Ovis aries: one gene and its partners. Each later gene encodes a partner of the first gene's protein in a complex. Links are inferred from orthologs where the notes say so. Each region holds a gene or a part of one and is shown in the gene's direction. Other genes may lie near its edges.

Region 1 (3,648 bases):
ATTGTTTAGAAACCCAAAATCTGGAAGAAACTCCAATGGCTACCAACAGATTAATAAGTAATAGTATACCCACTTATGGACTAATAAAGATAATGGAGCAAATTTTATGAAATGACATATAAAGATTTCCACAATAGATCATTTAATGGAAAAAGGAAATTTCAGAATAATATGAAAGGCTTTATCCCATTTTCTCATCAACTAAAACTGTGTGATCATACAAATAAATATATTTGCCTTAAAAAGAGGAATCTGAAATTATATAAAACCATTAGGATTGGACAGCACCTGTGGGTGGGAGTAGTTTGAGAGGGAATGTTTGCATTTTGTTTTATGTATTCTTACATTATCTTAACACTTTCATAAGCATCACTGATTCTGTAATACACAGGTAAGAAAAGAGATGATCCCGTCCATGTACCCCTTATTGTTAACCTGTCTCTCCACAGGTGCCAGGCTGCAAACAAGACTTGCCCCGCAGATTACGTTTGGAATAACCACGTCTGCAGATGCCTGGCTCAGCAGGATTTTATTTTTTCCCCCAGTGCTGGAGATGGTAAGCCAAATGATGCTTTAAGACTAAATGCCAAGGGTCTCTCTGTTGATTAACAAATACCTAATATTAAAATCACATGTACAATATTCATCCTCAAGCTTTGAAATCAGTCACTACAAAATAGGACACTTTCTGCTTCACTTTCTGCTTCTGGTACTGTTTTGAACGTCTCTGTAAAGGAACCTACCTGTGGAAAGGAAGACACTTCTAAGTGCTCTTCATTGTTTCACTCCACACCCAGAACCGAGTAAGGGATAGTAAAGCTGTCCTGACTGTGTTTGTCTAGACTCTGCAGACGGATTCCATGACATCTGTGGGCCCAACAAGGAGCTGGATGAAGAGACCTGTCAATGCGTCTGCAGAGGGGGGCTTCGAGCTTCCAGCTGTGGACCCCACAAGGAACTAGACAGAGACTCATGCCAGTGTGTCTGTAAAAACAAACTTTTCCCTAATTCATGTGGGGCCAACAGAGAATTTGATGAGAACACATGCCAGTGCATATGTAAAAGAACCTGCCCAAGAAATCAGCCCTTAAACCCTGGAAAATGTGCCTGTGAATGTACAGAAAATCCACAGAAATGCTTCTTAAAAGGAAAGAAGTTTCAGCATCAAACATGCAGGTAAGAAACCTTCATAAAGAGTATTAATTTCTCTTTTATTGGAAATAGTTTTCTCAATCCAAAGCAATTTTCTCAGCCAAAATACTGGTTTGTTACAATGGGGCCATTTAAGTTCTGTAAGATGAATTATGATATTTTGTAAACAATGCTAAATTTTGGGGAGACTGTTTGCTCCTGAAAAAGCAAGATGAGATCCCTGGAAACCAAAAGGAGATCCAAGCTCAGACTATACTAAGTCCTTGTCCCAGAGGCTAAGAGAGCAGCTCACAACAGGAGTTAGATGACAGATGCATAGGGCAGTCATTTCTCGAGCATCTTCAACATACACCCAGGCAGCGCACACCTGCCCCCACCAAAAATGACAATGCAGTCAGATGTAATTTTGGACAGCTTTTCTAAGTGCAGAAAATGTTGTGCGAAGTTCACAAAGGGTAGGATAATACCATTTACTGTGGAATTGTATCTAGAAATGAAAATAGTGAAGCTAAGTATTTAATGAGAATTAGAGAACTATATTAGCACATTGTTAAAGGTTACTCAAGGCATTCCTTAAACCTGATTTGGCTTCCTTCATCACAGAAAAGAAAAAGAGTCTCCTGGACTCAGACCCTTTCAGTGTTCACCCCTGACCTTCTTCCTCTGATCCGAGAATAAGCCAGCCCTAGGTGTTTGACACGGCCTCCCACTTTGCTTCAGCATCGCTCCACCAATCACGCCCCTTCTGTTCCACACCTTCAATGTCCTCAACTCTGTTGTTCTCTCCCTCCAATTTAAAAAAGTTCTCGAGTTTCTTTATTGGCATTTCTTACTGCAGTGTTGAACTTTCATTAGCAACAAGCTCTGTCCTTGTCTTCTGAGTTGCTCCATGATGGGTCATTCTGCATTTATCTGTTCACCTCTTTCATCTCTTGTTTATTCCCTCAGCTATGCCCTGAGGGACTGTTATGCCCTGAGGACTCCATGATTAAGCTTCGTTTAAGGTTTCAGTAGCCCTTTCACTGTCAGATTTCAAAACAATCCGGTCTTACTGCAGTTTCTCTTTGGGCTCTCTGTTTGGGCCGAGAGAACACTGTGCTTTCCTGATCGTCCTTTTAGTCTTCTCTCTACCTGTTCTCCGTCACCATCACTGGGTTCTCTTCTTCCACCAACTCTTTACAGACGGTGATAACCCCCACATGACTTAAAGCTTACCTTCCATTATTTACAATATAGTATCTATGTGAATGTTAATCGTTACTTTTGTCTTCAGTAAACAGTGTCCTTCTTTTGATTCTCAAGAGCTTGTGTTACTGTTTCAGTTCATCTTTCTGATGACCCAGCCACACTAACATGTTAGCTACTGCATGAGGAGACTTCCATGAACCTAGGTATCTCTTCTTCTATTACCATTTCAGAAAACCGTATACGAATCCTTATGTTTCCTCTTTAGAGTATTTTTTTAGCAATGATATTCCAATTTTACTTGCATATCCTATTCTAATTACCAAAAGGATATACCAAAACTATAGAAAATATAGATACTAAATCTTTTTAAAGATCATTAAACCATTTTGCACATTGAATCCAAGTGAACCCAGTTTACAGTGAGAAGCCTTAAATTTTTGTTTACATAAAACTAATCAGTTATTATATTTTTCTACACAGTTCTTACATTAACTTAGAGAAAACGTCTCTATCATTGTATTTCTCCTCACAGAATACATTGTTTCTTAATGGCTTTCTATTTACTGAATTTCTTTCCATGTTCATTTTTCTAAGCATATAATTCCAGATTTTATGCATATACTGAAACAAAAAAAAAGATAGCTTGATATTTTGAAAAAATACATACTCCTTACTTTCTCATCATATTTATTCTAAAAGTATTTTGGGCAGAGTATCTATTCTGTGATTCATTACCTTAGTCAGCAAGTTTCATTGATTACTGAAAATCATATCTTTTTAGTAAAGAATTACCAGTATCCCTATATTAATGCATTTGTATTTAGAAATGAAATAAATAAAATTTTAACTAGATATGCTTTCAGGAGCAAAGGAAATGATATTTTAAAACCCTAGTTGTAGTTTTTCTGTGGTACATTCTGATTTCCAGATGGCCTTGCATTTTTCTCGATGGTCATATTATATATACTCATCCCTCAGAAAGTCCTTCAAAGATGTTCTGTTCACTGGAGCAACAGGGCTGTGGATGTTATTGACTGCTGAGTCATATGTCCTTTCATCACCGCTAGAAACCGGACATTGAAGGTGGGGGGAGAGGAACCTCCCCCACAGTGAATACTGTCCCTCCCTGTGCCTTCTCCCAGCCCACACTGTTTTTGTGTGGAGTCCAGGTGGACGAGTGAGGCTGGCCACCCTTTCGTAGCAGCCAGCTGCCAGCCCAAGTTAAGAGTAAGGGTGGGGCCTCCTGTGGACCACAGCCCTGCCAGAATGGCTGGGTTTAATCTCCTTGACGTCTGGGTTCCAACCAAG
Region 2 (3,648 bases), on another chromosome or scaffold:
TTTAGTTGGCATTGGACTCAGTTTTCTTGCTGTGGAGTGACCCATGGCACGGAAACTGAGTGGTATATTTAGGTAGACACTTTTCCTGTGTTCCAAGCTTGGTGTCAACACAAGCTCAACACTTTGATCAATAAGTTGAGATTCCCCACTTGCAGTTCATTAGCATCATCCTTTTTAAAGTCCTGTTCTCTGAGGAAAAGTACATGCATATTATATGACATTGGAAAATGTTTCTTTTCTCAATTCCTCTCACCTAGTTTTAATGTACGATCGTTCAACCTTGGCAGTTCAGTTACCAGAGTAAGTGCATTAGAAAATTGATAAAGAAAAATAAGACAAGGTCATGGACATTTCCCACCAAAGTACATCAATAAACTATGTAGAAGTCGCTCTATGTAGTACTCAGTAATCAGCAGTTTGGTCAAATGTGTGCGTCCTATGTTTTATAAAAAATGTCAGTGGGTCCTTTCCCAAAGGAGTGAGGTCATCAGATGAAGGTTCATTTGGTTTCAATGTCCCATATCCTTTTCTAAGACCTTGAAGTTGGCAGTGCAGGAAAACAGGAACTCCACCCTCACTCCATGAATTGCAGAACTGTTGTGTTGGTTTATGACCATCTGCCCATTCTTCCTGTTATGACACAGCTTGTGAACTTTTACTGGGAATGGTGAAAAGTAAATTCACAAGTTTTACACAATGAACTGCTGAAGAGGCCTTTTAAAGTATAGAGTGTGCATTGTTTATGGAAGGTGTTTCCTATTGGCCCTGACTCAGTGGCAATTACATTCATTTATTTAATTTGTTTCTAGGTTTTTCTAGTGTTTCCCTTGATCCACCCAGGCTCAGCATCCAAAAAGACATAGTTACAATTATGGCTAACACAACGCTTCAGATTACTTGCAGGTAAGGATTCCTTTTAGATTCAGATTTCCTGTGTCAAATATCTCATTGTTTATTAAAGAAGCAATAATTTTCATACAGCAGAATTGTAATAGAGTCATTGTAATTGTTTATAAGTAGTGAGGTTTCTAAGAACTAAGGTAATAATGAAAACATGAGAAAGGTCTTCTCCCCGAAATTCTGTGCAATTTTACTGATATTTTTCCCCCTATAATCCTTTACCAACACACACACACCCTACTAACCATTATTGATAGCACCTGGCATGTGGTATGTTATATATACTCTATCAATGTTGAATAAATAAATGAAATCAAGGATGTACCCTTAGAGTTAAAGAAGTTTTGGGACATATTTGTTATTCTCAGCATGGCTCTTGGACATCTGTTTAACATTTTTCAAGAACTTCATTTTATGATAAAATTCAGACTATAGTAGCAATTTAATATTCAGTCATTAATATTACTGAGTGAATCTCATGCTCTGGCTTGAGGTTCTGACATGTCTGTCACTCCCCAGCTAGCAAGAAGTCATGCTCTTGATTCTTGCTCACTGGGGAAATAGGTCTTCTTGACAAGAAAAAGAGGCTTTTAAATTTTGCCTTCCAGCCCCTACCGCAGGAAGAAAAGTAAGAGAACTTAGGGTTTAATGTAGTGATTATGCTTGTCAGACCCAGAGGCTTCTTGGGACCAGTGTGGCTTTGGCAGAAATGATGGGTGGAGGCGACCTTGCCCTCTGAGAAGAGTGCTGAGGGTCCACAAAGAACCTTGGGGCGCTTGTTGCCATTGTTTCGGCGTGATGAATGCAAGGTGTTCAGCACGGTGACACCAGTCTATTTTAGCTTGCAGAGTGTAAAGGATACTCTAGTCCCCTATCAAGGGTAGGTCACCAATAACCAGCCCTTAGGGAAAAAACAGGAAGAGGAGCTGTTGGCCTAGCTTTGCTATTTCAAGATACATTTCTCCGTAGATTTCCCTCTTAACCACCCTTGACAAGAAAGGTTATTTAAACCCCCTGAGATTCTGTACTCCCTTTATGTCGTGAAAAAAATGATGGAGTATGTTAAAAGTAACTTCATTAATGTTGCTGCAATTTGATGTCAAGTTTGCTAAAGAAGGGTCAGTGATGATACATTTGTCTTCACGTTGACCGTCTTCTTTGGGGTTTTGCAGAGAAATTCTGCAGTGAAAGTAGTCTGTTTTAATGCTATCCTTTCAACGTCCTGTGAGGCCCTTGCTGCTGCTGCTAAGTCGCTTCAGTCGTGTCCGACTCTGTGCGACCCCATAGATGGCAGACCATCAGGCTCCCCCTCCGTGGGATTCTCCAGGCAAGAACACTGGAGTGGGTTGCCATTTCCTTCTCCAATGCATGAAAGTGAAAAGTCAAAGGGAAGTCGCTCAGTTGTGTCCTACTCTTAGCGACCCCATGGACTGCAGCCCACCAGGCTCCTCCATCCATGGGATTTTCCAGGCAAGAGTACTGTATGTGCCAGTGACAGCTGCATTCCCTTCCACCCTAACCTCACCTCTTACTCTCCCGACTGCCCACTCTTCTGTAGCTACTCTGGATTACCTGCCATTCTCCTAACACTATAGATAGGAATCCACCCCAGGGCCTTGACATTGCTGTTCCCTTTGCCTGAAGCTCTGTCCCCCTCAATATACATACGGCCCCTTTCACCAAGTTACCTCCCTCTAGAACTAACCCTTCACTTGTTTGTTTGCATCTTCTAAATTTTCTTCATAGTACTTATCACCACCTTTTATATAATATTATTCACTTTTTGAACATTTTGGCTTCATTGAAGTTTATTTACTTTTTTTTTTTTTTTTGCCTGTGTCTTCTAGTTAGACTGAGGTTCCATGAAGGCATTGATTGAGGTTTGGTTTGTTCACTGCTGTATTCTCAGTCTTTACCAATGTTTGGCACATAGCTCATGTTTAATAAATATTTGTTGAATGAATGAATGAGTTAATTTCTGAAATTAAGACTCTGCCTTTTTGTCATATTGTCCATAATATGAGGAGTTTGTATAAGTTCGAGAACTAAACCTTCTATTTTCTTAGAAACAGTCTCATAGGCATTTCACTTAAATACTTGCTTGGAATGAATTTTTCAGGGGTCAGAGGGACTTGCGCTGGCTCTGGCCCAACAATCAGAGCAGCTCTGAGAAAAGAGTGGAGGTCACAGATTGCAGTGATGGCTTCTTCTGTAAGATGCTCACAATTTCAGAAGTGATTGGAAATGATACTGGAGCCTACAAGTGCTTCTACCAGGACATTGACATGGCCTCCACTGTTTATGTGTATGTTCAAGGTGAGTGGTTAAATGCCGTTCACTTCTCAAGTTGATTTACCAGTTACAAAGCACAATAGGTGCACAGAAGAATTGAGGACAACAAAGGCTCGCTCTGAAGGCTGTCGGCCAACAGGAATCCACAGAATTCCTCTCTCCGAAGGCCTCCTCTGAGGACAAGATTCAGTGATTTGTTCTGCAGCTTGGGCCCTGTTACACCTCTTTTACCCAATTAGTTCGGTTCTGATCTTTGTTTCTAAGCGAAGTCTGTGTTTGCAACTGACAATGGAGATTTATAAGAAGCCTTCTGATGTTTGAGGGGAAAAACCCTGAAATCCTTGAAAAGGAAGATTCAGGGATGAATTATGGAGCAGTTTCTGTGGAGAGATAGGTTATCTACAGCAGATTCAGAGATTTCCCCAAGAATGCACAGGGAATCAGCCAAGGGCTCTG
Region 3 (4,154 bases), on another chromosome or scaffold:
ATGCTGAGCAAAAGATTATGCAATGAACAAGCAAAATATGTCTGGGAAATAAAATGATAAAGAAAAGCAGGGAAATGATAAGGCCAGGTTAAAAACAAGCAAAATATATCTGGGAAATAAAATGATAAAGAAAAGCAGCGAAATGATAAAGCCAGGATTTGGGGGTTAAGGAGGAGAAAGGGCAAGCTTCTGGAAAGCTTGTGCCATTTTATATTCTTTAATCTGTGGGACTGAAACAGAAGTGTTTGCTTTAAAATTCTCATTTATAGTACCTTGATTATATATCAACGTATTTAAACTAAATACAATATATTAAAACCAAATTTCAATATGTTAAAACTAACAACAAAAGTTGAAAGAAAAGCAACATGTGGTTGAGGAAAAGGATCTAACTTCGTTTATTTGGTTGCCTACCTTTCACATTATTTATTAAATATTCCATATATGATTACAACTTAAGTTCCATTCTTTCTTGCATTAGAGATTTAGTAACAATTGTTTCCAACAAGGGTTTTTGACAAGGATGAATGGACTTTTGCAGGTGGTAGGGGGAGGGATAGTAAAAGTGTGATTATGAAAGCAGAAGAGGGAGACAGTCATGCTCATGGGATTTGTTTTTAAATAGGAAAAATCTAGAGACAGACCTGAAAAGAGAAAGGAAGTCTATGAAAGGGTTGCCAAGTCGGAGAGCAAACTGTCACCTGATGAAAGGACTTCTGAATGAGCTCAGAGCAAAACTATTTGGAGGAAATCTAAAGAGGACATGCCTGCAGGATGGAGGTTAGTTATACTGGGTGCCTGGCCCAAGGGTCCAGTCTCCATCTACACCACGTAGGCGGTAAGATAAAGTTTACTGAACGGTCTCAAAGATTTGATATATTGCTATTTTAAATTATATTGCTTTCTTCTTTTTCCTACTTTAAACATAGTATTTATTAACTGAAGGAAATTACAGAAAAATACGTGCTGCCACGTTTTGTCCAATCTTGGCGGCTGGGTTCGTGCCCTTTTTAACTCACAATGGCCAACCTGAAGGGTTGCGGTTGACTCGGCAGTGGGGCGCGGACCAGCCCTCCCTCGCGCCAGCACCCTCACGTCGCTGCGGCAGTCTCCTGCGAGAGGGCGGTCCTAAGAGGTGCGAGGGCCGCTCTCCGAGGCCAAGGCCGCCGCGGGAGCCCCGCCCCGGCCGCAGCCCCGCCCCGGCCCCGCCTGCGCGGTGCCTCGCGCCCACACTCAAGCGCGAGCCGCGGTCGCACGTTTGATCCGCGCCACCGCGGCCGGAGATGCAGCGGGGTGCCGCGTTGTGCCTGCGCCTGTGGCTCTGCCTCGGACTGCTCGACAACGAGCGTGGTGAGCCCTCCGCCGGCCCCAGTGCGCAGCTGGCCACGAGCGGGGACGCTTTCCCTGGGCAAATGGTGGGACTGCACGGACGCGAGACCGGTCGGGGGACGGGGCCCGCGGGACCCTTGGGCACGAGGGGAGACAGGGTTGAGAGCCAGGAATTCAGATCCCGGAAGGAGCACAGAGAGTCGGGCCGGGCTTGCCGGGATGAGGAAAGGGAGAGGACGGGCCGCGGGGCAGCCCAGCAGCGTGGAGATGGGTTCTCGACTTCACTCCACGGTCTATGGTTCAGCTCCCTTGGACCCGGGCCCCTTCGCGCTGCATCCTCAGCCTGGATCCTTCGCTTGCTTACACGCTTTTCTGCGGAGTCGGGGCACCGCACTACTCTATCCTGCGATCCGCGCGCGCTGAGGTTGTCCCCCAGCGCAGAGGTTGCAGTCCCCGCCAGGTCGTAGTCTCGGAGGCGCACTTCCCCGCGACTCTAGTCTGCGCTCGAGATCAGCATTCCTGAGGGAACTCTGGTTGCTGTTCACTTTCCCCAGGCCAAGGACTGCTGGGATGGAGCAGTCCCAAGGGATGCAGGGAATCAGGCGTAGTCCGGGAAAACTGGGCGCAGTTGTTGGATTTTGAGGCTGATCTTGAGTCAGCAGCTCGTAAGTGATCAGCATGGCAGGAGAGGCAGAAGGCCGGCCCTCGCCATATTTGGGGGGTAGCACCCTGGATGGCCAAGCTAAGGATCATAAGGCAGGGGCTGCAAAGAAGGGTCTTCAACACAGGAGAGGCAGTGTGGAAACAGGTGATGGGAACATGACTAAAGGTTGCCTCTGAGCGATCGGAGGGAAGAGAGTTTGGGGATTGAGGGAGGGGTGGCTGTTTGCAGATGTCAGGGGGAAAGCATCAGGAATGAGAGGCAGATGAGCTGGAAGCCCATGAGAGATCCAGTGACCCTGGGGGTCAGAGGGCGGAGGACCGATCATGGGTCCCCAGTGTCTGAGGGAGTAGTTCTGAAAGATCTGAAGGGAGAAATGGATACCTCTATTTTTAAACACTGTTGGCTTTGAATACTGGCTTTACATGTTTCATTTCTTTTAATCCTCACAAGGAAATGTTAGACCCTTTTTACAAACGGGAACACTTGAACCAAGGACAGGGGTAACTTCCCCCAAAGTCCTCAGGAAGCCAGTAGTAAAGGACATGTTCAACCCAGGTCTTTGGGATACAAGAACCCCATTCTCTGTGTCTATATGGGCTGAAGGGCTGGGGAGAGTGGAGTGAAGGGAAGTGTGGGTGAACCTAGGGGGAGGAGGATGGAAGAAGACAACTTCCGGCCTCCAAGTCAGGGCAGGTCTGAGCAGAGGGGCTGCCTCTTGGCCCTTCTTTGCTCCCCTGCACCCTTCCCAGGCCCAGGCTTTCACAGGTGCCGTGGTTGGACTTCAGGGCTGAGTGGGATATCCCACCTTGAGAAGACATCCAGCAGGCAGTGGGTACAGTGTCCAAGGCTCAGGAGAGAGGCTGAAGAGGAAGCTGTCCCAGGATGGGACCATCTTCCCCAAAGAGGGGACCAGAGAGCGAGAGGCTTCCAGGGAGATAGAAAACATCCAATGTGCAGAGTGTAAGGAAAACCAGGAGAGACTCACGTCCTGGTGCTCCTGAGTAGAGCGAGTGCAAGGTAGCAGACAGAGGGGGGATAAGTCAGTCTCGCAGTGAGTACAGGTGATTCTTACCAAAGCTGGGCAGTGAGGGAGAAGAGAAAGAATGAAGCCAAGGGGCCCGTGGAGGGGGACAGCCTTGGCTGGACCAGGGCACGGCTGGTAGGGAGATAACCCGTTGAGAGCAGACCATTGCCACAGTCCCTGAGCCTTATACTTGTGCCACCCACTTTGGGGCTGAAGAGGACCTGAGAAGCCCCTAGACTGATGGGAGTGCTGGAGCAGAAGCTCAGACATTCCAGTGCAGCCCCAGTGTGAGGCCACGTGCTGGCAGGTGAGCAGCCTGGCCCGAAGGCGACCCTCAGAGATGTGGTGCTTGTCCCAGAGCTGGCTCCTTCCTGGCTCTACCCCTAAATTACTTGCTGTGTTGCCTGGACCCCTCCCTTCCTCTCCTTATGCCTCAGTTTGCCCACACATAGCACTGCAACAAGCTGGCACGCTCTGAGGGGCTGTGCTTGGGGCTGGACTCCTTACCCCAATCGTGTCCCTCTAGAGAAGGCAGATGGCAGAGGCCACCTCCTACAGGCTTTATCTCTTGGGGCTTAGACTCTATAGAGGCTGTCTGTGCCTCTGAACGGTGGGCAGTCAGCTCAGGGACATGTGGGGAAGGAGGCAATTGCCAGGAAGCTTGGTTGGCCAGCCATGAGGCTACTGGTTCCTACCACGGCTGAGACACTCATGACCATCCCAGCTCTTTCCCGTCCCTGCTCCTCAGCCCTGAGCCAGGGCCAGGTGTGGACAGAGGTGTGGGAGAGGGGCAGGCATGTGAGTCAGTGCAGGTACAGCACTGGCCTTAGCTCAGTGCTCTGAGGACTCACATACAGGCGTGCTCACAGACCCAGCATGCTGGAGGCACTGGGTCAGTGTGGCCGAAGGACTCTTTGCCTCCCCACAGCACAGTGTCCACATGACCAGGCACCAGGCTGGGCATGAGGTGTGACAAGGGGACTGTCTGGCCATCTCCTTGCTGTGCCACCCCCACCCTGACCCCCAGGCAGTGGCAGGCAGCCTAACCAGTGAAGGGGACTATAGTCCTGTGCAAGGTGAAAGCTATAATGTCTGCTCAGGGTGGCAAAGGGAAGATTTGGACCAAGTCCATTCTGC

Evidence for each region.
Region 2: the proteins of VEGFC (region 1) and KDR are in contact, whole or in part, in a crystal structure (PDB 2X1W), measured with the Homo sapiens proteins. The link is inferred for Ovis aries from reciprocal best matches to the Homo sapiens genes VEGFC and KDR. Residues at the interface, in NP_005420.1 of Homo sapiens: Thr148, Asn149, Phe151, Lys153, Phe186, Ile188, Val190, Pro191, Leu192, Gln194, Pro196; in NP_002244.1 of Homo sapiens: Val135, Tyr137, Ile215, Val216, Val217, Val218, Asn253, Val254, Gly255, Ile256, Asp257, Phe258, Asn274, Arg275, Asp276, Phe288, Leu289, Ser310, Ser311, Gly312.
Region 3: the proteins of VEGFC (region 1) and FLT4 are in contact, whole or in part, in a crystal structure (PDB 4BSK), measured with the Homo sapiens proteins. The link is inferred for Ovis aries from reciprocal best matches to the Homo sapiens genes VEGFC and FLT4. Residues at the interface, in NP_005420.1 of Homo sapiens: Leu119, Asp123, Trp126, Gln130, Asn167, Arg210; in NP_891555.2 of Homo sapiens: Gln172, His199, Asp200, Ala201, Leu202, Tyr203.

The regions. Positions count from the first base shown.
Region 1 is NC_056079.1:7,221,806-7,225,453, reverse strand, and holds part of VEGFC (vascular endothelial growth factor C), read left to right. Parts: intron 1-449; coding exon 450-556; intron 557-842; coding exon 843-1,176; intron 1,177-3,648. UniProt on the Homo sapiens protein: Growth factor active in angiogenesis, and endothelial cell growth, stimulating their proliferation and migration and also has effects on the permeability of blood vessels.
Region 2 is NC_056059.1:71,308,492-71,312,139, reverse strand, and holds part of KDR (vascular endothelial growth factor receptor 2 precursor), read left to right. Parts: intron 1-809; coding exon 810-903; intron 904-3,019; coding exon 3,020-3,216; intron 3,217-3,648. UniProt on the Homo sapiens protein: Tyrosine-protein kinase that acts as a cell-surface receptor for VEGFA, VEGFC and VEGFD. Plays an essential role in the regulation of angiogenesis, vascular development, vascular permeability, and embryonic hematopoiesis.
Region 3 is NC_056058.1:345,264-349,417, forward strand, and holds the start of FLT4 (vascular endothelial growth factor receptor 3), read left to right. Parts: upstream 1-1,260; 5' UTR 1,261-1,283; coding exon 1,284-1,350; intron 1,351-4,154. UniProt on the Homo sapiens protein: Tyrosine-protein kinase that acts as a cell-surface receptor for VEGFC and VEGFD, and plays an essential role in adult lymphangiogenesis and in the development of the vascular network and the cardiovascular system during embryonic development.